3 linked regions of the Astyanax mexicanus genome follow. The protein of the gene in region 2 binds, or shares a complex with, the protein of the main gene of each other region. Links are inferred from orthologs where the notes say so. Each region holds a gene or a part of one and is shown on either strand. Other genes may lie near its edges. The genes, in order: fdx2, ndufab1a and LYR motif-containing protein 4.

What was found.
Region 1: ndufab1a (region 2) and fdx2 share a complex: the UniProt entries of both Homo sapiens proteins name them as parts of the mitochondrial core iron-sulfur cluster (ISC) complex. The link is inferred for Astyanax mexicanus from reciprocal best matches to the Homo sapiens genes NDUFAB1 and FDX2.
Region 3: the proteins of ndufab1a (region 2) and LYR motif-containing protein 4 are in contact, whole or in part, in a crystal structure (PDB 6ODD), measured with the Homo sapiens proteins. The link is inferred for Astyanax mexicanus from reciprocal best matches to the Homo sapiens genes NDUFAB1 and LYRM4. Residues at the interface, in NP_004994.1 of Homo sapiens: Lys92, Asp111, Ser112, Leu113, Asp114, Val116, Glu117, Met120, Glu123, Asp124, Glu129, Ile130, Asp132; in NP_065141.3 of Homo sapiens: Arg6, Leu10, Ser11, Tyr13, Arg14, Leu17, Arg18, Lys21, Arg37, Phe40, Arg41, Lys44.

Annotation. Positions count from the first base shown.
Region 1 is NC_064412.1:31,745,118-31,752,192, reverse strand, and holds the start of fdx2 (ferredoxin-2, mitochondrial), read left to right. Parts: upstream 1-4,041; 5' UTR 4,042-4,069; coding exon 4,070-4,250; intron 4,251-5,801; coding exon 5,802-5,856; intron 5,857-6,320; coding exon 6,321-6,427; intron 6,428-7,005; coding exon 7,006-7,075. UniProt on the Homo sapiens protein: Electron donor, of the core iron-sulfur cluster (ISC) assembly complex, that acts to reduce the persulfide into sulfide during [2Fe-2S] clusters assembly on the scaffolding protein ISCU.
Region 2 is NC_064428.1:16,158,757-16,166,679, reverse strand, and holds the start of ndufab1a (NADH:ubiquinone oxidoreductase subunit AB1a), read right to left. Parts: upstream 3,057-7,923; 5' UTR 2,973-3,056; coding exon 2,817-2,972; intron 1-2,816. Other genes in the region: protein tonB2, read left to right, coding at 4,986-4,988, 6,462-6,639, 7,647-7,923. UniProt on the Homo sapiens protein: Carrier of the growing fatty acid chain in fatty acid biosynthesis.
Region 3 is NC_064413.1:47,014,577-47,022,211, reverse strand, and holds the start of LYR motif-containing protein 4, read right to left. Parts: upstream 3,107-7,635; 5' UTR 2,996-3,106; coding exon 2,910-2,995; intron 1-2,909.

The sequences.
Region 1 (7,075 bases), on a different chromosome or scaffold from region 2:
TACAGGCTGGCTGATCTGATTTTACTCTTTTTTTGGGCAGAATAAAAAATAAAAAAATAAACAATGAAATGATTTAAATTAAACAGTTAATCAGTTATAAAAAGCACAATTAAATATTTATAACATATTGATAAAAACATATGATAAAATAATATGGGGGCAAAGGCAAAAGACAAAACACAAGGTGCACAGACAGAAAACAATAAACAGAATAAATGTAAATGTACAGGTATATATAAGCCAAATGTCTCTGATTCTTATACTGGCCTATTTGTTCTGCTTCCAGCACATCAACTTCAAAACAGTGACTGTTTCTTCACTTGTTGTCTTATTCCTTCACAGGTGCCACTGAAACCAGATCATCAAAGATATAAACCAAGATACTACAAGGACTTTGTTAAAAAACTCAAAATGTTCTAAACCCACTTTGGTTTGTGCATTTTCACAACAATTCCACAAATGATACCACTGCACATCACACATCACTTCACACTTCAGACACATTACACATGTGGCTTTCTGTTCCGGCTGGATTGTCGTTCTCAAGTGTGATCTTATCAAAATACCAGAGTGGAAACATGAACTAAACAGACCTACTAAAATAAACTACAGGTGTTTTCCAAAGATAATTAGAAACACATTACGTATCACATTACTTCCCACTAGTAGTTCTAATTTTGAATTAAGTTGTTTTAAATTGCAGTATATGTACATATACATTTATGCTTTTAAATTACTGTAATGATGCTATTTAATCATGTTATTCAAATGCTATATAAATAAAATTGAATTGAATTATCATGCATGCCCATATTTCAGTGTTTATTTTTCTGCCTGATTTAAAGATTAGAAACACATTACTATATTACTTTCAACTATTAGTTCTTTTTATGAATTCAGTTGTTTTTGTTATATGTTTAGTTTATGCTTTCAAATATTTTAAAGATCTTATCATATATATGCCCATTTTTATTTATGTGTATTATTATAATATATAACACAGCAGTTATTTTTTATATTTTGTAAAAGTTCATGGTGAATATAGAAGCTAGAAATGTCTGAAAATGGCTTTTAGCTTAAAAATCATTTTACAGTAACTTACAGGAACATGTTTATATATACTTTACATAAGACTGAATTTGTATATAATAAAGTTTTTTTATTTTTTACTTAGTTTCTTTAACTCACTGGAGTGAACAAATTAAATAAGGCTTTTTACAAGACTTTCTACTTTTCATATTTTCTACATGTTTTTTTATTCAATAAATAAATAGAATAATTGTGATATACTTTAGAAGTAGTTAGCAAAACATGGGATTTGAAATTCGATCAAAAAGTCAAATTATTATGTCACTTTTTGGAAATTTTTTTGGAAGTCAGAATGTGTGAAGCTCTTCTGAGAATAATATTGTATGACTGATGTACAGAACTGGAAAAGGAAAGTGGTGGTTGATAACAGATGTGTCACTGCATGATTTCCACTTGATTACACTTGTTCGCCTATGGCACAGAATGAGAAGCTCAGCATATTTTTGTGATGACAGTCAAATCACACATAATATATATTAGCCTAAATGGTAAATATTAACACAATAGTTATTAAATAAAGTAGAAGACCTGTGCATTTAGGCCTATTTTAATCCAGAAAATATTTTTTAAGCATTCTATTGTAAATGTGGCAAATATATATATATATATATATATATATATATATATATATATATATATATATATATATATATATATATATATATATATATATATATATATATAAATAATAATGTATTTGACTTTGTTTAAGTTGAAAAATGTTCAACAAACCTATTTAATGCTTTTACCAACAGAGAAACCGGTCGTTTTTATGGGAGGACATGACTTGTAGCTGTGACATATAGAGATTTTCTTACCTTTATATAAATAAATGATGACGAGGTGAAGCGACATTCTAAACCGATTGGCCAGCCTTCTGCTTTCTGAACGTTTGATTTCTACTGTACATACTCAGCAATGTGGTTCTGAAGAAGACAGAAAAATTGAGAAAAATAAAGCAATAGGTAGCTTTAGGGCTGGATGATATTGCAAAAATCTATATCACAATATATTTCTTAATTTCGGTCGATATGATACAAATGATTCAAATATTGATATGACCAGCATGAAAGCCACCACCCTTGGTTTACATAATTACACACTGCTAGAGCTGCATGATCTGGTTAAAAATATTATCACATGAAGAAACAATGTTGCAAATTCTAAACATGTAACATATATCAAACATATATTTTTAAATTTTATTGGAAAATGATTTCAGTTTGGATTTTGCCAGTCTTTTCTTTATTTGTTTTTAAATTTTTGTGTATTTTGGACAGAGGCTTTTCAGGGGGGCAATCAGATTTCAGCTGGGGCCAATGCCCTTGTGGCCCCACCACTAGAGCCTCCAGTGCCTCGATATGCTTATAAGAGGTTCTATCACAATACAATAAAATAATGATATATTGCTTGCTAGGTAGAATAGCCAGCATGCTAACCAGTCACACCAGTGTTTGTTTAACTGTAGTTTTTTTTTTTTTTCAGGTGAGTGGACAATGAAGAGAAGATATGGTAAAGGATGGCATTAGCTAGTATTAGCTTTTAGCTTAGCTCCACATTGGCTTTCACGTCTTGGCGAACCAATTCTGGAGGTGATAGGCTTCTCTCCAGTATCAACAACATTATGTACTGGCAAAGTTTTCATCTCATTTTACTGTTTTGAGTACTCTACTGCTTTGAGTAGAGTTTTCTGTAGTATGTTGGGTTTACGTAAATATTGGGGGTGTAAATATAATGATTCAAGACTGCTATGTAACATTGTTTGAGCTTTCATTTCCCAAATGTTTAGTATTCAAATATGTCAAAATAAATACTGTTTGACATTCTATGAGCTCCGTTAAGGTTAAAGTTAAGTGTTAAAGTGTTAGCTTTAGTATTGCGACATAAAGGCCAGAGGAAGGCTTTGTTTAAGTTGGTTGTGTAAAGACAAAAGAACTTGTTGTGATCTCTTTCAGGAAGCCAGCATGCAGACACAATGCTCTACTATAGGGTGCACAGGAGATGGCTAGCCAGATTAGAAAGCCTATGTGCAAATGTTATTTGCATCCGAGAGTTTACCAGCTGACCTGTGTGTTATTTAGGCAGATGAGCAGGTAAAGAGGGTTCTATTATGGCTGGTAACTACATGGCAGTGATTGGGATGCTGTATATCATCACATCTGTCGTGTTATTTACAATACTGTGTGTAAAAAGAGGAAAAATACTCATCTTCTGGTCATGACTTTGACACATTTCTCTTAGCAGTTTACCTTGAGTAACCCTTTACATGCGTATCATTTGTCCTATAGCGCCCTCATGCGGCCAAATTACACAACGACCATTGTAGGGTGGTTAAGGACCCACCAACACTGAAACTTAGTTAAATAGGAGATCTTATCTTTATTAAACTCATCAATCATTAATTACAGATCTGTAGCAATAGTGGAGATCATTTTATTCCTCTTTTTCTCCCTCAACAAGTTTTCAGTGGTCTACCAGTTTGTTCTAAACTTCTGTTACTTGATATTTTATCCTTAATCTTTCTCATTTAACGTTTTACCTAAAAAAAAAAAAACTTAATATATAAAATTAAAAAAAAGAAAATAATCATAATAATTCTAACCCCATTTCCTTCTTCCCCTCCTTCACTTCTCTATCCCTTTATTTCCCTTCGACCTCCTTTGAGCCCTATCTAAAATGGTTTATCTTAATTCCTATTACTTTTGTACTTCATTATTGTAAGTCGCTTTGGACAAAAGCGTCTGCCAAATGCAATGTAATGTAATGCAATGTAATGTCTTAATAGTCATTCTGACCAAAAATGACAGTGAATTTAGAATAAAATAAAAATAATAAATTAATACCAAATATTAATAATGACCTTAAAATAAAAACAGAGCTGAACTTGTGTTTAATAAACCTGCACACCGACGAGAGCTACGTCACTCCTCCGTCTTCTTTTCTGATTGGCTACTGCGGACCATGTGACGACAGCAGTGTCATGGCGGCCGCCGCTGCGGTCCGTGCTCTGAGTGTGCGGCTCGGTAAAGTGGCCCCGGACTGCAGCGTCTGTCCGTTTTACCGCCTCAACATGTGCAGCGGAGCCGTGCTGGGTCCCACCAGAGGGAGACGAGCCATGGAGCTCTACTCAGCCCCCAACAGAAAGCTGCAGACCTCCATTAGTGAGTGTATCCGAGCTCCCAAAGTCAAACCGCGGGTTTTATAACATCAGAGAACTTAGGGTGTCTGAACTGAGCTCTAACTAACACGCTGATACTGAATTATTATCGTTTTTATTTGTGTTTATTCTAGTTTAGCACCTTCAATTACTGTCTGGTGTTACTGAGTTTCAGAAATATGTTACAGGTTGAGTTTGATGGCTGTTATTTACGTCTAAATTCCTAATTCAAAAGTATCCAAACGCTTCATTACCCTTCAGACAGCTTGAATAATCTTGATGATTAGACTCACATAAGTCTAAAGTCATTGTGCTGAATTCCAGGCTTGGTAGAGGGACCTAGAGGAGTTGTGGAGCATTGGAACTGCATTCTCTGGTCTGATAAAGCTCCATCCTCTAACGTTACTCTTGGAATGAGTTAGAGTTCATTCAAATTCAGTACCTGAATGCCATCAGATCCTCACAGCAAAGTTCTGTCAGAAAAGTGGAGGCTGTACCTCCAGCCACGCGAGTATTGAGGAAAAACTCCTCATTAATGACGTTGTTTTTACAAAGGTTTCAAAAGTATTTACATTTATTACTCAGGTAGAAAAGGATACTAAGGTGTAAATACTTCCGTAGAAGTTGAAGTATCAACTCAAGCTTTTTACTCAAGAAAAAAATTGGATGCACTAGGCTCCCTGTTTCAGATGTGTATATGCTAATTGAAAATGAGTGTATTCTAATACAATGCAAATACAGCACTGAAAAAAATGAGACCATTTAAAAATATGAGTTTCTTTAATTTTATCAATTTGAAAACCTCTGGGATATATTCAAGAGGAAGATGGATGATCACAAGCCATCAAACCAAGCTGAACTGCTTGAATTTTTGCACCAGAAGTGGCATAAAGTTATCCAAAAGCAGTGTGTAATACTGGTGGAGAAGAACATGCCAAGATGCAAAAAAAAAAAAAAAAAACAAAGACAGGGTTATTCCACCAAATATTGATTTCTGAACTCTTAAAACTTATTAAATATGAGCTTGTTTTCTTTGCATTATTTGAGGTCTTTTTTATTATTTCAGCCATTTCTCAATTTCTACAAATATATTTTATAAATGTCAAAAAAAAATTATTTGGAATTTTGGAGAAATGATGTGCGTAGTTTATAGAATAAAGCAACAATGTTAATTTTACTCAAACATTTTAAAATCGTCTGAAATATAATTACTCCAGTGAAGACAAATTCTAAACAAAAAAATCGACTTAAGTAAGTTAAAGGAGTATTTGTACTTTGCTACTTCCCATTTAGTTTTTTTTTTTTTTTTTTTTTAAGGAATATTTTTGGTTTTGGTTACTACTTGTAACAGGCTGTACTTGCAGGCATTACTCAGCAGCTTGGTCTTTAGTTGGTCAAGTTAAACTTGTTTTGGACTGTCAGGGAAATCTCATTACAAGAGCTTTGCTAAGAGAGCAGGAAAAGTCCAGTCCAGTGCAGTTAAGCAGATGAGTGTCTTTGTTAGACTCATTGCAGAGGTTCTCACTAAACTGTTCACTGTGGTTTATTATTTCAGATCTACGTCAGAGTGAGGAGGGCAGCTCGAACGTGGAGGACACCGATGAGGATGTGTATGTTACTTATGTTACCCTCCCTTTAACTTTATATTAGGTTTCCTATGTACATGTCCACCAGATCTATGGTTGCTGAGGAGCGAAAACCTTGTGTTTATCCAAAAATGGAAATATTAGAGGGATGGTAGAACTCTGGACTTTAAACATATAAGTGTAAAATGATTTTATTCCATTGAAAGCGTTTTTTATTGGTTAAATTAGCATGCAGTAGTGACACAGTTTAAATATTTTCCCTAAGTGAAAAACTGCAAAAATGGAGATGCAAGGTTTTTGACACTTTGATGTGCTCCCCAAACAAATAACTATTCGCATGCATCAAAATTCCCATGACATGTAATATTTAATGTTTATTCAGCATTTATTCATTTATTTTGAACAAATATTTGTATTTACTTATTTTGTTTTTTTTTTGTATTATTTACTTACCTATGTTCTTTTCTACCCCACGTCTCTTGTTGTAGTGTTAACGTGGTGTTCATTGATCGGTCTGGACAGAAGATTCCGGTAAAGGGTAAAGTTGGAGACAATGTCTTGTATCTTGCGCAAAGACAAGGCATTGAACTTGAAGGTAAGTTCTTGTTTATACCGGTCTTAAACTGGAGATTGTTACATAATAACATATGTGTGCTCGGGAATAGAATTGCATTGAACCTTCCAAAGACAATACACTTAATGTTTAAGGGTCCTGAGAAATCCTAGACATAACTTGCCAACTGTTTCACAGATTTTACAAAGTGTGTTTTTTTTTTCCTGTTTTGTTGTAAATTACACCTGTTTTTGCCAAAAGTATAGTGATGTGAGTCAATGTTTCTGTAGGACCCTGGCATCCGAGAATCAGAACATTTTTAACATACGTAATTGATCTGTGATCAGTTTTGCATGTGAACTATTCATAATTATTCATACTCTATTCCAAACCATAATATTGTGTAACCTTAGTATATTAACATACCATCAGACATGCTGTATTGTAGGATCCTGCTCTTAGTGGCAGCCAGTAAAGCATAGAAGACCTTTTAATGTTATTGTCCATATCTGTCCCTACTGAAAGTATTACCTACTTTGTGTGCAGCATTTGGTGTTGTGTAATTAGTATTATTATTAACTAATCAGGATTATTAACTTGTTAATTTGCTTTGTTTTCAGGGGCCTGTGAGGCATCCTTGGCCTGCTCTACGTGTCATGTTTATGTACATGAGGAGTATTTTGATAAACT
Region 2 (7,923 bases):
TCAGAGGGAAATCAACCATTACATATATCCCTAGGCTATACATTAAATAAGAAAACTGCCTGACAAAACTCTCTAACAGCTTACTAACAATTTCCTGGAATAACATGAACATGCCAAATGTCATGGGACAGTAAAAGCAAAATAATACACTGATCTTCAGGATATGCATGAGTTGCTTGATTGTTTGCATAGAAATTCTAACCACCAGTGACAAACATTACCACTCACTGTACTGTCCACTGAGAGCGGTAATGTCAGACCAGACACGGTGAGTAGAGGAATGTTAAATGCCTGCACAACTTCAGAAAAAGTCCAATTCATTTGGCACCGAATATCAGGCCTTGCTTGTAAACATTCATGTTGCCATGTCATGAGCAGTTCACAAATGTTATGCATTATGTCCCTTGAGATAACAGTTCATGATTAATTTACGCACTGCTATCCCATGACTTTTGGTTTGTCAGCATATATTCTAGGGATGTTCTCCTGCAGAAACTAAAACTGAATACGTTTTTATTATTTTTGACAGTTTTTACCACTGCTCAAGTAAATTAGCCTATAAATATTTTTATGATTTTAAACATCATTGCTCGGTCTTTATTTTTATTTTTTTTTTATATATATTATATATATTTTTTTATTTTTGCCACTTTTGCCTAGTAAATTCATGCTCTGCAGGTTACGGACACAAATTTAAATAGCAATCTTAAAAAAAAAAAAAAAAACACACACAAGATAATATTTATGCATTTAAATATAGCTAAATCAATTATTAACATACATTTAAAATATGAATATTACACTGTAAAGACACTAAAACAAGCACATTAGTATTAAGAACTACATTAATTTGCAGTAGAGTTATGTACAGGGTGTCCTAGAGCTCCACCCACAATTATTTCTTATTATAGTATAGTATTTTGGCCTCCCATCCACACGAAAATGCACATTTTAAAAACGCTCTGCAAAGTGGAAATATTTTAAAGAACCAAAATGTTCGCTCCCTATTACAGAAATAGTGCACTAAATAGTGTGTCAGCCACTTTGTAATGCTGTTTAAAATCTAAATACTACTAAATCCATATAATGCAGCACTCACTGCAATCACCAGTGTATAACAATGCAGCGCAGTGGTGGTGTACCAGACCACCTCACAGCGGCACAAATAAAGAGTGTGTTTGGTTGTTCACTTATCACTTCAGTATATAATAAATGCTACATAGTAGACTCAAGTACCTCCCTTAACCCCTACATAATGTAATATAGCTAATACAATTTAATTTAATACATTGTAGTCATACAATAAAGCAATGCACAAAAAATTGAAAATTGAATTTAACTTTAGAACTACCCTCTATCTGAGGTCAATTTGGCCCTATTTGATGTTTAACATTTGCTAGGGAATATTTTTGTGTAGGATCGACACAATTCCAAAAATACCAGAAATTATTGCAAAAAAAAAACAAAATTCTGGGATTCCCATTTGAAGACCATTAAAATACACTGACAATGATAATAGCATAACAAACCAATAATACCCTTTTAAAAATAACTAAATCTGAATTAATCCTAGATTGGGACCTCACCTACCCACAGTTACTGAAGTACTGGTCATTACATGACTGCCTAAAATACTGTTCAATGCTTTATATGTGTGTGTGTGAACAAAAAGACAATAATGTACAGGTGAATTTCCATGTTCCAGTGTTTTCTGCCTAGTTAACTTTACCAAATAATAAAAAAAACAGTTTTGAAGTGTATAAAAACGTTGCAATGGAGAATACTGAGCTCAGTATAAAAAGCTAATATTTTTTGATACTTAATATAAAAACGTCATTCTGCTTTAAGCCTCAACACCACTATATGGGGCTCCAACTATGATAAGGAATTTACAAATCCTGTTCATGCAGCTTGCCATCAGCTACCGGAGCCCTGAGAGAGCACAATTGGCCTTGCATTCTCTGTGTGATGTCAATTAGCACACCCTCCTGGTGTTGGGGCATCACTAGTGATAGGGGGAGTCCTAATGAGTGGGTTGGGTATTTGGCTTTATAAATTGGGGGAAAGATTGGGGGACAAAAAATTTAAATAAAATTAGATTTAAAAAACACCACTATCCCTACAGTACTGAGAGAAACAGTGATACTACAACATATACACAATTAATTCCTGAAAAAAGCTCGACAACGTTTTTAATAATATAACGTAAATTTTCTGAAGGTTTAAAAAGCCGCAGTCAAACTGAACACGAAGATTGAGGGTGTTAACTTACTAACTAAACAAACCAGCGTTAACTATAAATAATAAAAGATAACAGAAACAACTAAAGGATTAAGTAAATCTTCTGCACATTATTAACCAAATACTTCAAAAAAAAAAAACTTTATATAATAGTATGTATACATTTTACCGTAACTGAGAGTAGATATGATTATCAGGTATTATTTACTACTTTAATATTTAATACAATATTATTTAAAATACCTTTTTACTCTGTAAAAAAGCGTAAACGTGCAGTTTAGTTAGCTTTATAACGACGTTACTGAAGTTAAGGTTAGTTAACCTCAGATTAGCCGGCGCTGCTAATTAAACTAGCCAGCGTTAGTTCGCTATAGATATAACGTTTAAATATCACTATCAGTCATGCGGATCTGACTACGGATTAAATCAGATTAATCCGGTTTAACCAGGTAACTCTCTGTAACCCCGGGTTTGACTTTGACCGTGTCTCGGCGCAGCGCGGCACGGCGGGGCTGCAGTCAGTCAGGAGCTCGGGTAGGTCATTGGCTGTGACCGCGCGGAGCGACAGGACCCACCTGAGTCAGCCGGGCCGGGCGCCCGAAGGCCGGGACAGAGAGGCAACGGCTCAGGCCGAGAGGAGCCGAGGCGACAGCGGCCCCGCAGCCCCGGTTCAGAGACACCAGGCTGGGGTTCAGTGATCGGACACACCGGGCAAGGATGCGCGCCGCCATGTTACTCCTGTGCTCACTGATCCACACACACACAGTATTCCCACAATGCAGCGGCCTCTTCCTCTCCCCCTCCTCCTCCTCCTCTAATAGCGGCGCTCCCCGCGCTGCTGCCCCCTACAGGCTCCTACCCTACCGCGGACCGGGGGAGAACAGCGGCTGTCTGCAGAGAGAGACCATCCATAAAATAAAGTTTCTCTGATTTTGCTATTTATAGGTATATGTTTCAGTAAAATGAATATTGTTGTTTTATTCTATAAACTACAGACATTTCTCCCAAATTCTAAATAAAAATATTGTCATTTACAGAAAATGAGAGAAAAGATCCAGAGCTTTAAGACCTCAAATAATGCAAAGAAAACAAGTTCGTATTCATAAAGTTGTAAGAGTTCAGAAATCAATATTTGGTGGAATACCAAGAAAAGAGGAGGAGAGGAGCAGTAGGATAGGTGGATGAAAAGGAAAGGAGGATGAGGATGAAGAGGAGGGTTAGGAAAGGCAGAGGAGAGGAGAAGTAGGAAAGAAGAAGTAGAAAAGGAGGAGTAGGTAAGGAGGAGGAGAGGAGCAGTAAGATAGGAGGAGGAGAAGAAAAGAAGGAGAGGAGGGTCAGGAAAGGAGGAGGAGAAAACGGTCAGTGTAACTTTTAGCAGTTTAATTTTCTGACTGTATCAAGCTAATTTCGAAATAAATAAGAAATGGGGTTTAATCCAATTCTTAATTTCAGCCTATCGCAAACAGAATTGGAAGAAAAATGAAAAGTTGAATCTTCATGCAAAAAATGCAACAAAAAAAAATCCTAAAATTACGATTGTGAGAGGCAGAGAGGAAAAAATTGGAAAAAGAACGAAAGTCTGCACTACATTAAAAGTTTTTAAATCCAATTTCCTATTTTTGCATTTAGCATCAAATGGTCAGAAAATGTAATTATTAACGTTACAGCCAATAAACATTCCAATTTTTTTAGCACTTAAAATGTTTTGTCTCTGTACTACAAACGTTAAAATTGAAAATAGTAAGAATACCTTTAAGTTGTGCTCATTAATGAAGGTATGTTTTGAATGTTGATCTCTTGTATGTCCATTTATATTTATTTTTATTTTGGTAATGTATTTTTTTGTTTGTTTGTTTGTTAGTTTTTTATTATTTAATTTTTTGTCAGTTTTTTTCACCCAGTAGTGATACAGCTGCTTATTATGCTTTAAAATACTGTAATAATGTTTGTGGTTCTGTAAGTCTTTTCATATGTCTAAATAAAATAAATTCTGGACGCAGCCATGCTTCGCAGCAGAATCGCGTGGTCCTACTGCGCATGCGCTGCCATTGGCCTGAATCTGCTGGCCTACATCCGCGGCTCCGCGCTTCTGCAGACGGGTGTTATTGGGGGGCAGATCCGCAGTACGGCACTCTCAGCTCCGCACGGTCAGATCCGCACGGTTAGAGACTCGGATCTGCTGCAGTTAATATGGAGAGCCGCGGATGGGTGAGTGTTTATTGGTGTATAACATTAATATCTGAGCGGAAGCAGCTCCGAGCGGAAAATTATAACAACAACTACAATGATAACTAACTTAATAATTACAATATTCGAGAAACTGAAGCTGTGAAAGTGAAGGGATCGATGGTTAGTTAGCTTGAAGTTTCCCTTCCATTCGTTTTTAGGTTAAATAATAAAAGTTAAAATACTAACGTTAGCTAATTCATTTTACACTTTTGGAAACGTCCTTAACATATAACGATAGCATTATAATAAATGTTCTTAAAACGTCACGTTTTCATTTTTTAAAAGTATTGTTTTAAATTCATTGTGCTTAAAAGAGAAAAAATATTCCTTATTAATGAACTAAAATGCGCAAACTTTCCTTGATAAACAATCTTCAAAATGTCCTGTCAGTTTTTTAAATTAGGGCTTTTATTTTGAAGATAGACACACTTCCGCCCACCGTTATGTCAAAGAATTTGCGGATCGCTAGAGGAAGCCCGCGAGTCAGTCAAAATCATAGACTGTGGAGCTAACTAATGGTGTATATATTTTTTATTTAAAATAAGCTTACCTATGTATTTTATTATATATTAAGTGAAGAGACTTTAGGCAGTAAAGAATCTGCATTAATCCTACTGTGAGCTACATGACTGCAGTTACAGTCAGAGCACTGGGTTTGAGTTTAAAAGGTTTATAACGGTTACAAATATATCTGTACTGTGTCGAAAAATGGTAACGTTATATTGTTCTGTGTTGAGGTAATTAGTCATTTCTTTAATATTTAAATTTAAAACATTTATATTACCGTATTTTTCGCACTACAAGGCGCACTTAAAATCCTTTAATTTCTCCCAAAATCGTCAGTGCGCCTTATATTCTGGTGCACCTTATGTATAAATTTACCAGTCAGGTTGTAAGGAGCAGTAAAGCCACTCCACTAAAGTTATACAGAAGTTTCAGTTTAGTTCTCCAGCACTGAGGCTGGAGCAGTATTAGCAATAGCCATCTAGCTACTAGCTCTAGCTCTTTTGCCTTTCAGAGGTGAATATTATTGGCCTGTAGGCTGCTGCTAACCCTGGCTAGCACTGCTGGAGCAGCATTAGCTGCTAATCGCGCTAAGTGCTAGCTCTTTCGCTGTTCATAGGCATGTATATCGGACTAGCTAATATCGCCCTGGGTTACCAGAACACTCAGGGTTCCTCAGTGTAGTGCTGTCAAGCAGCATTTATTAGTGCTAACCATGGCTAGCACTTGCGGTTAGCTGCTAAAGCCAATGCTGCTGCATATGAGAGAAATCTGTGTAGATTAACATGCAGCACTCGTTTGCATCTTAATCAGTCTTACTTAGAATTTTCACCTTATTTTAGGTAATTTGAACTCAAACTAAACACAAAAAGTCACCAATCAAGTTATTCTAAAATTTGAGTAGAAATTTAAGCTAGAAAATAAATCATTTTTGCTTGATTTGAGTCTTATTTCACTCATTTTGAGGCTTTGTCATTGCTTATTTTAGAAATACTTTATAAGAAAAGTTTGGTTACCCCATTGGCAATTTCTTTTTTTGCTTAATTTAAGCATTTATGTCTCAATTTAAATAAATTGTATCTAGTTTTTGCAATTTTTTGCAGTGTACTCAATTGTGTCATATGTATTTTCCTCTCTATTAGAGATTCTCCAGTATAACCCCTAACCCCAGCCAGCCTAAATCTCCCTTTAAGAAAATGTAAAAAAAAATCATAAAGTTTTTTATAAAGTCCTGTGGATACATTTTGCTTTAATTTCCTTAATCATTCTTAACATTGCACTGAGCACAGAAATTAACTAATCCCAACAATCCTTTTGTATTTAGTTATAATTGTTTACATTTAAACAAATATTTAAAAACAGAGACTTCCTGCTCTCCTTTTTATAAACAATATACAACTTCACAAAAAAAAAACATCAGCACTTTTTAATTATTACCTCATTACATAAACAAAATCCATCTACATCACCTTTTATTCATTTTACAGATTCATCCATCGGTTCGGAAAAAAGGGCAACAACCAGAGCCTCAAAGATGCATCAGAGTGCGCGGCACAAATCTGTTTCAGTGCCCGTTCTGCAGTCTCTCCAAGTTCAAAGCAGCAAAGCCGTACAAGGTGCAGCTCCATCTGGCCTGGCACGCCCGGGGAGCGGTTGAATATGGAGGTATTTTTTTTATATTGTATTTTTGCTTTATAGAAAAATGTTTTGTATATAAATGTTTAAATGACTACACAAGTTTCAACAGAAAATAATACTAATTGTTAAAGCACACATTAATTTCTTGTTTAAAAGACGACTGTAGAAAACATGAACATTAAAGTTCCATTCTGTTCTGTGTCTCTTCTATAATAATAAGCTAAATTTTCCACCATCAAATTTGCAAATAGACTAAGCACAGTAGAGACCAGATGTGGAGCCAGAGCTGCCTACTCCCAGACCAAGTGTCTCAGTCCACCTTCATTGAGTTTACAGCACAGTTAAAGTAGTGTGCATCAGCCACATCCACTTTAAAGTATCATTCTGTAAGTTTTTGCTGATTTAGAGACCTCTCTGGTGAGAGTGCACACAGCAGATTTATGTAGGTTCATGTTAATTAATTGTTGTGTGTGTGAAAATCTGTCTTTTGAAGCAGTGGGCTTAGTAAAAGTGCATTTCATGTATTTTATTATAAAACAATTTACGTTTCCATCAAATCACAGTACCAGAGCATAGCGTAGTTTACTCTGTTTGACTGCAATGAACCACAGCTACCATAGTCCAGTTTAACTATTAAACTGGACTAATTATTAAGAATGACAAAATCTTGTTGTAAACGGCATTTGCTCTCAGTCTAGGCCAGCAAATAAATTTGGCATGAGAGTCACATTTAACAACTCATTGGATCACAACAGACAGTATGAGGTGTAGAATATATATATATATATATATATATATATATATATATATATATATATATACATATATATGTCATTGTGCGAGTTCAAATCTCCTAGGCTGCTCCAACCCTTTCTTGATGTTCCTTCTTGTTTTTTGCTCTATTAAATTATCTATGTGCATTATTCTTTAATGTTCATGTTGGATTTTTATGTTTATACATTTCTGAAATCAGTTTATCTAATATTACTTAACTGTTTGCAGTAACATACATATGTCCTGTTTTCTTTCCTCAGGCTACACCATGTACCGATGTGGGTTTGAATGTAGACCAAAATTACATTTCCACTGTCCAGGCTGCACAACCACTATAATTCGTAAAGAGGATTTCTTCAGACATTTTGGAATATGCAAACATTCTCGTTTCTTCAACACCACATCAAACAACAGTACACCCTCATCGACACCCCCTGCTGCAATCTCTACATCTACCTTGACACCTCCTGTCACAGACCCTCCAGCCACTGATGCACCTCCTGCCACAGACCCTCCATCCACTGCAGCACCTCCTGT
Region 3 (7,635 bases), on a different chromosome or scaffold from region 2:
GGGGGGGGGGTATATATATTAAAAAACGAAGAAAAAAAAACAAAAACAAAGTCCACCTAAGTTGTTATACACTCAGGCAAAGAAATATGAAATGTGTGCCTCAAATCTCTCTGAAGATGGGTTAATCTAGTAGCTAAAGTTATCTAGATAAAAAGCTAATTTCTATATTTGCTCCGTCCAGTCGCTCAATCATCATTCTCATCTAAACAGTTTACTATAAGTAGAGTTTCAGACAGACAGATTGGAGTGTGTTCTGTAAGCTTGCTGGTTTAACATTTACTGTATGTGTTCAATTGGTCTGTAAACAAACTAAACTTTGTATTTTATTTTTTATTTTTTTTTCAGTTTAAAAAGAATCCAAAATTGGATGGTATTGTGGCCAAGTAAACACAGGACTTGGGCAGTTTAAGCAAATCCCTGTTGCTAGTATATAAAAATGAATCTGCCCACCCCCCAGCAGTAAGTCTATTTTTTGGTAAGTCTAAAAAAAAAAACTGGACCAAGCCACCACAATGTATTTTACAGCAGAACCTTTAAATCCGTTGTGGGGTGTGACCTTCATGGATGCAATGACCCTGTTGCCATATCACCACAGCATAATAAAAAATAAACATGTACAGACTGAATATAAGGACACTAATAAAGCTGTTACAATCTAATGCAGCTATATGCTATAGTTTTGTAACTGCTTTACTGAAACAGGTGTGTCCCCCTTTCCCACTTTTGGGAAAAACAAAACACAGCAGCCCATCTCTCACTGTAAGAAAGAGAGGCCACCTGATGAACTTCATGAACTGTTATTTTAATCTGGTCTGCATACAGCCCTCAGACTGTCAATGATACAATGGTACAAAATAAAGCTGTAAGAGTGAAATGCAGCCTAAATACAGGCACAGCTCTTAATCTAGCCCTACACATCGAATCACCTAAAACCAGTAGTACAGGGAAGAATTTATTTAATTAAACACCAGCAAAATAACAATACTAAACACACCTCAAAACCCACAATAAAAGCATGACCCAGGCATTTATTAATAGATGTGGTACCGTCTTTTGAAAATGGAATCCAGTTGGCTTCGAATTCTAACTCTGTTTCACCCTAAACAGTTACATTAAGTGCGGTCAAGGTTATATTATCTTAACATGTGATTAACTTGGAAACATTAAAGTGTTTTTTTAACACAAATATATATATATATATATATATATTTTTTAAACAACTTTGGCCTCAACTTTAACTACTAAATGGGTCAGGGTCTGGGCTGTTAAGGCCCCCTGGCTAATGATCTGCTACTGTATGTGACCTCTGACTGATTCTTTATACGTTTAATTGTTTTCTTATAGATTTTAAAATTGCCCAACAAGAGTTGAAGATTTCTAAATGTACCAATAAATCACAGTGCTCATTAGAAAAACATAGAAAACATGTTTTAATCCTATTTACTGGAGTTTTCCCTTAACAAAAAGGGGATAAACTACAGTGAGTTCTGCTACTTATACGAGTACAGCTATTTTTAATACTACTGTTTCTTCTACTACTGCCAGTACAACTATTACTACTACTGCTAATAATACAAATATGTTTGCTACTTCTACTACTATTGCTAGTACTACTGCTACTACTTCTAATAGTACTACTGTTACTACTGCTAAAATACTGCTAATAATACAAATACTGCTGCTACTTATACTATTATTGCTAGTAATGGTAATACTACTGTCACTACTGCTAATAATACTGCTACTACTGCTAGTACTTCTAATAGTACTACTGTTACTTCTACTACCACTACTACTACTACTACTACTACTACTACTACTACAACAAATACTGCTTATAATACAAATATTGCTGCTACTTCTATTATTGCTAGTACTAATGCTAGTTCTACTGTCACTGCTGCTAATAATACTGCTACTACTGCTAGTACTTCTAATAGTACTACTGTTACTTATACTACTACTACTACTACTACTACTACAGCAAACACTTTTTTAAAATACAAATACTGCTGCTACTTCTACTATTATTGCTAGTACTAATGATAGTTCTACTGTTACTACTGCTAATAATACGGCTACACATACTGCTACCATTCTGTTAGTACTTCTATTACTAATATGAATACGACTGCTAATAATACTGCTACTACTTCTGCTAATACCACTACTGTATGGCTAATAATACTGCTAATACTACTGCTCCTACGTATGCTAGTACAACTGCTAGTGGTACAGTTTTTACCACTGCTAATGCTAATAATACTGATACTTATACTGCTAAACCTTCTTCTACTACTGCTAAACGTGTTATTTTAGTACACCAGTAAATAGAAATGGCCTTATGTTATGGTAAGGTGACGTTTTACCATTTATTACACAATCCTTAGTAGTTTTTGTTTGCATGGGTCCCCCAGAGCTAGGCTAGGCTTCTTCCTAAAGCTTGCCAGTTTGTTTTTTCCCTGTGCATATGTTTGTTTTTACAAACCAAAGCTGGTTTACAAAAAAAAAAAAACGGGCTGTAAAGAATTTATACAAATAAATGAACTTTCTCAATAGTTCTTTTTTTCCTGAAGGACTTTAAAGGAGTCTAGCTAATGAGCTTACACAATATACTTCTGACTGATTCGTGTACACTTATATGGGCTTTAAAGTTTCACAACAAGAGCTGGAGATTTCTAAAGGTACAAAGTAACCGAGAAATAAATAATAAACACAGAAAACACGTTTTAAAGCAAATTATTGGAGATTTATTTAACAGAAAGGGGATAACTACAGTGAGTTGTGTTGTCAGTGAAAAGAACCCAGACTCCCAACAGCTCTACAGTCTACACACCCACCTCACACAGCCCCCGCGCGCAGGGCAGGTGTGTGTGGTGGGGTATTAAGGGGGTAAATTGTGTAAATACCTGTAGTTATAGGAGGGGAAAGCCCTGCTCTCCTTCAGCAGACTCCGGTACAGAGACAGCACCTGCGCTCTACTGGACGCCGCCATCTTTCCCACAAAGGCGACTAAAACACTGCCTGAACAGAAAACCCGCCTTTATCGCCTCTCGCGCTCCGACTGCGGAGCAAATAAACAGTTTTATAGTTTAAACAGGCTGTAGAAATAAAGCGAATTCAGATATTAATCAGTGTACAGCGCTGAGCGCGGGGCGGGTGTGTATATTGATCAGGCTCGCGCGCAGGTGAGGCGTGTTTCTGACAGGCGGCGGGTCTGAGAGAGGTGAGTGGGACAGTCTGAGGGCTGCATGTTTATTAACTTAATACTGTTATTATTTATATTATTCACCTCCTCCTTCTTCTCTAAACTCACAGCTCATTTATACTGCGCGTTCAGAGCACAGCCCGGGTTCAGCTCCGTTCTCTGTGTGTTTATAGCTGTGTTTACTGTGTTTACTGTTTACAGACTGACTGATAAACTCCACTACTGTCACTGAGATATTATATATATATATATATATATATAGTTAGAGAGAGAGAGAGAGAGAGAGAGGGAAAGTGGGAGAGAGAGAGTGAGAGAGAGAGGGAGAAAGAAAGAGAGAGAGAGAGACAGAAAGATGCACACATAGAGAGAATGTGTGTGAGTAAGAGAGAGAGAGAGAGAGAAAGAGACACTTTTGACTTTTGGCACGCTTTATTTTACTATTAAAAATTTACATTACACAAAAAAAAAATAAAAAAGGGTCAAACTAAAATAAGTGGCTTTTCTATTTTTCTGTGTGCACAAGACCAAATAATCTTCATTAAAAAACTAAATCAATTTTCAATCTAATCTTTATCAGAGTTTTAAGCATGTCTCCAGCATCCTGAGAGCCACCCTCCTTCAATTTGTTCTTCCTAGACAGTCACACAGCAAGCTTAGCCTGGCCAGTATCTCTCTTTGTGAAGAGAGAGAGAAAGGGACACAGAGAGAAAGTGTGTGAGTGAGAGACAGAGTCTGAGCAAAAGAGAGACAGTTACTGAGAGCGAGAGACTGTGTGTGGGAGAGAGAGACTGCGAGAGAGAATGTGTGTGAAGGAGAGACAGAGTCTGACTGTGAGAGAGCGAGAGACTGTGTAGGAGCTGGAAAGACAGAGGTAGAGAGACTGAGCACGAGATTGACAGAGAGACTGAGAGAGAGACTGAGAGAGAGAGACAGATAGAGAGACTGAGAGTGTGTGTGTGAGAGAGACAGATAAAGAACCTGAGAAAGTGTGTGTGAGAGAGAGACACAGGGAGACTGAGATAGTGTGAGAGAGAGAGAGAGAGAGAGAGAGCATGAACATGTCGGCACGTGTTGAAGGAGTTTGTGAATGTGACTGTTTAGTGAATGTTTTCACTTCAGCATTATTAAAAAGCATTTTGCATTCAGCATTATTGAAATATATTGACATTGAAAGTATGTAAACATATGAATATTACCAGTTAAAAGTAGGATACACCTTAAATATGCTGTTTGTTTTTTCATTATTTAAAAAGTTGTATAAAACAATATCCTTTGTAGATTAATACTAAAATCATACGACTAGGGTTGCAACGGTATGAGATTTTCACGGTATGATAACCGTCTCAGAAAATACCGCGGTATCACGGTTATCACGGTATCACAGTTTGTTACATATATTATTAAACTGACCCTTAAAGAAATTACAACAAAGGTTTTTTGTTCAATTAACTATTTATTGTAGAAACCTGGAACAATTATAATTTTAATGTCTCCTTAAAAAAAAATAAGCTGTATACCATCAGGTGAAGGAAAAATTTTTTTTCCACTACTCTTAAGGGCATTAAGAGTGTATATAAAAAAAATATATATAAATATATATAATATATATACACACATACACACACGTTACACACATTACATGTCCTCTAAGAAGTAAAGATCCTGTGTTTAAACTATTCAGTACAATTATTTAAGTTTAAATTATTTAATATCTGATAAACTGAGCCTGGGTCAGTGTCTGATCAACAACTGTTGTAAACGTCCGTTTTACTGCCAAGTTGGTATATAACCAGATACTGCAGAAAGAGGGGATTTATTTCTGACATGATCCTCACAATAGAGATTTCTATTTTAAGGCTTTCACACCGAGTCTGGTTTTAACATTTGAAAAACAGGCACGTCAGAATTTGAAAATGAACGCATGTAAATGAATGGCGTCTTTCACATCCAGTCCGGCCAGGACCTTTACACGGACACGTGAATCCATCGTAGCACGCACTTCACGCCTGTACCTGCGTGCCCAAATTTCGGATAACTCAGCGCTTTTGCGGGCGCTTACTGCATGGGTTGTGCACGACTACAAAGAGGTTTTATTTAGGTTCAGATTAAAATTATAAGCTAAACACATACTTTGCGCTGCACAGCGGGGTGGTGTTCTCGGAGATGGGAGAACAGGTTTGACGTATGTCCACCTTTAGCTGTGACTTTACGGCCACATTGATTACAAATCGGATAACCATCCTGCGTTCGGCGGGTATCCGAAATAGTCCCACACTGCTGATTTTAGTTTAGCCTTTTTTTAGGCGGACGGAGATTTGTTTAGTCTGATGCACTTTCTGTTGTTCTCACCGCTGTGTGCTGAGCAGCTGAAGCGGAGCAGAGTTGCGCATGCGCGGGTGAGTTTCTCCGCTGGCTTGCGTTTTACCGGTAATAAGCAAACACACACGGTATGATAACCGTGCATTTTAATACCATGGTATACCGTGAAACCGGTTACCGCTGCAACCCTACATACGACCTATGGAGAAAAACACATGGATTTAAGTATTAAACAAACCAGAATATGTTTTATATTTTAGATTCTTCTAAGTAGCACGTCTTGGGTAGATGACAGCTTTGCATATCTTGGCTGAATTTTTTCAGTCAGCTTTATGAGGTAGAGTCACTTGGAATGGCTTTCAGTTAACAGCTGTACCTCGTCAGGAGTTAATTACTTAAATTTCTTGCCTCTTAATGTGTTTGACTGAAATCTGTTGTTCTTTGTTGAATACTGATGTGAAATAACTGGCTTACAGCTTGTTAATCTGCTGTGATTTGTGTTTTTGTAGCCTGTGTGTATGGACATTAGCAATAAACTCGGTTCTGAGCACAGTGTTTAGTGGTGCTGGGCAGTAATGTCTATTAATGGGGCCTTAAAAATGTCCACTAGGGCTGGACCCGAATATTCGGGTATTCGGATATTCGTTCGTTGAGTAGGTATTCGGTTTTTAATTTTGGTATTCGGATATTCGTTTTTTTTCTCCTTTCCAGAGTTCCACCTCACTCTAACCACTTCTGTTCTCGCGGGTCCCGTCAGAATATCTTGCGCGCGGGACAGAACTGAACTGTTATTGGCTGGAGCGGGAGTTTAATCCAGACGATGCGGGAGCAAATTAATAAATAGTTAAGAAAACTGTAATAATTGTAAAAAAAAAAAAAAAACCTAAAGAAAACTCTCAACGCGCAGGATGGACCGACACACACACGCACACACCGATGGTGTTTGGACTGGGGTAAGGAACGGGACCGCACTATTCAGCGCTGCTGTTTTAATAAATATATAAGTAAATTTGAAGCATTAAATGTAGTTTATTTAATTTATATTAGGAACGTGGGGCGGGAGCGGCAGAAATGTGTATGTGGCGGGCGGGCGCGGGATTAAAAGAAGCAATTTTTTTGCGGAGTGGTAACGAGACAGAAACGCGGGAGCATGGAAGAGTGGGTTTAAAAATCAGTCTCGCGCAGACCTCTATTATACATGATAAAAAAAAAATGCAGGCTCTTCGAAACTGATTTATATAATAAAACGTAAGGGGTAATGTGGCAACAGTAGGGGCTAAATCGGTTACAAAAGCCTGGCCTACAAAAATGATGTCTGAACGAATTTCCTCTTATCTAATATAATTTAAAATGGTTTAAAAATATAAAATAATTTCTAAGCAAACAAAATATTTAATATTGAGCTTATAGCCCAAGTGCAAAAATACAAAATCAGTAATACGGCTATGCCCTGCACAATCCTTAAACAGAAATAGACCAAGTACAATAACGTCATTAACAATGACTTTCCTCTACTCTAATATAATTTAACATGGTTTAAAAATATAAAATAATTTCTAAACAAACGAAATATTTAATATTGAGCTTATAGCCCAAGTGCAAAAATACAAAATCAGTAATATGCCCTGCACAATCCTTTAACCGAAATAGACCAAGTACAGTTTACAATGACTGTCCTCTAATATAATTAACAATGTTTAAGAATATAAAATACTTCCTGAACAAACGTTTTTTTTGTTTGTTTTTTTTAAGCAAATAACCTAAGTGTGAAAACACAAACAGCAATTTACTGGGCTGGCTTGCGCAGCGGAGAAACCGTGCAGCAGCAGCCTCCTAGCCTGCTTACGCAGCGGATAAGCCGCGTGTGGGGCAGCAGAAATTCCGGGATGAAAACACCAAGAAATCTGGGCTAAAAACACAGAAAAAATATGGGGTGAAAACACAAAAATCCGGGATAAAAACACCAAAAATCCGGGGTGAATATGTCTCGTTGGTCAGAGCAAATTGAACATTTTTCAGTGGATTAAAGGGGCCGTGATTTGCTTTTTTTAATTTTTTTTTTTACCTCTTTTTTTAAAAACGAATATTCGAATATTCGCGAATCAGTG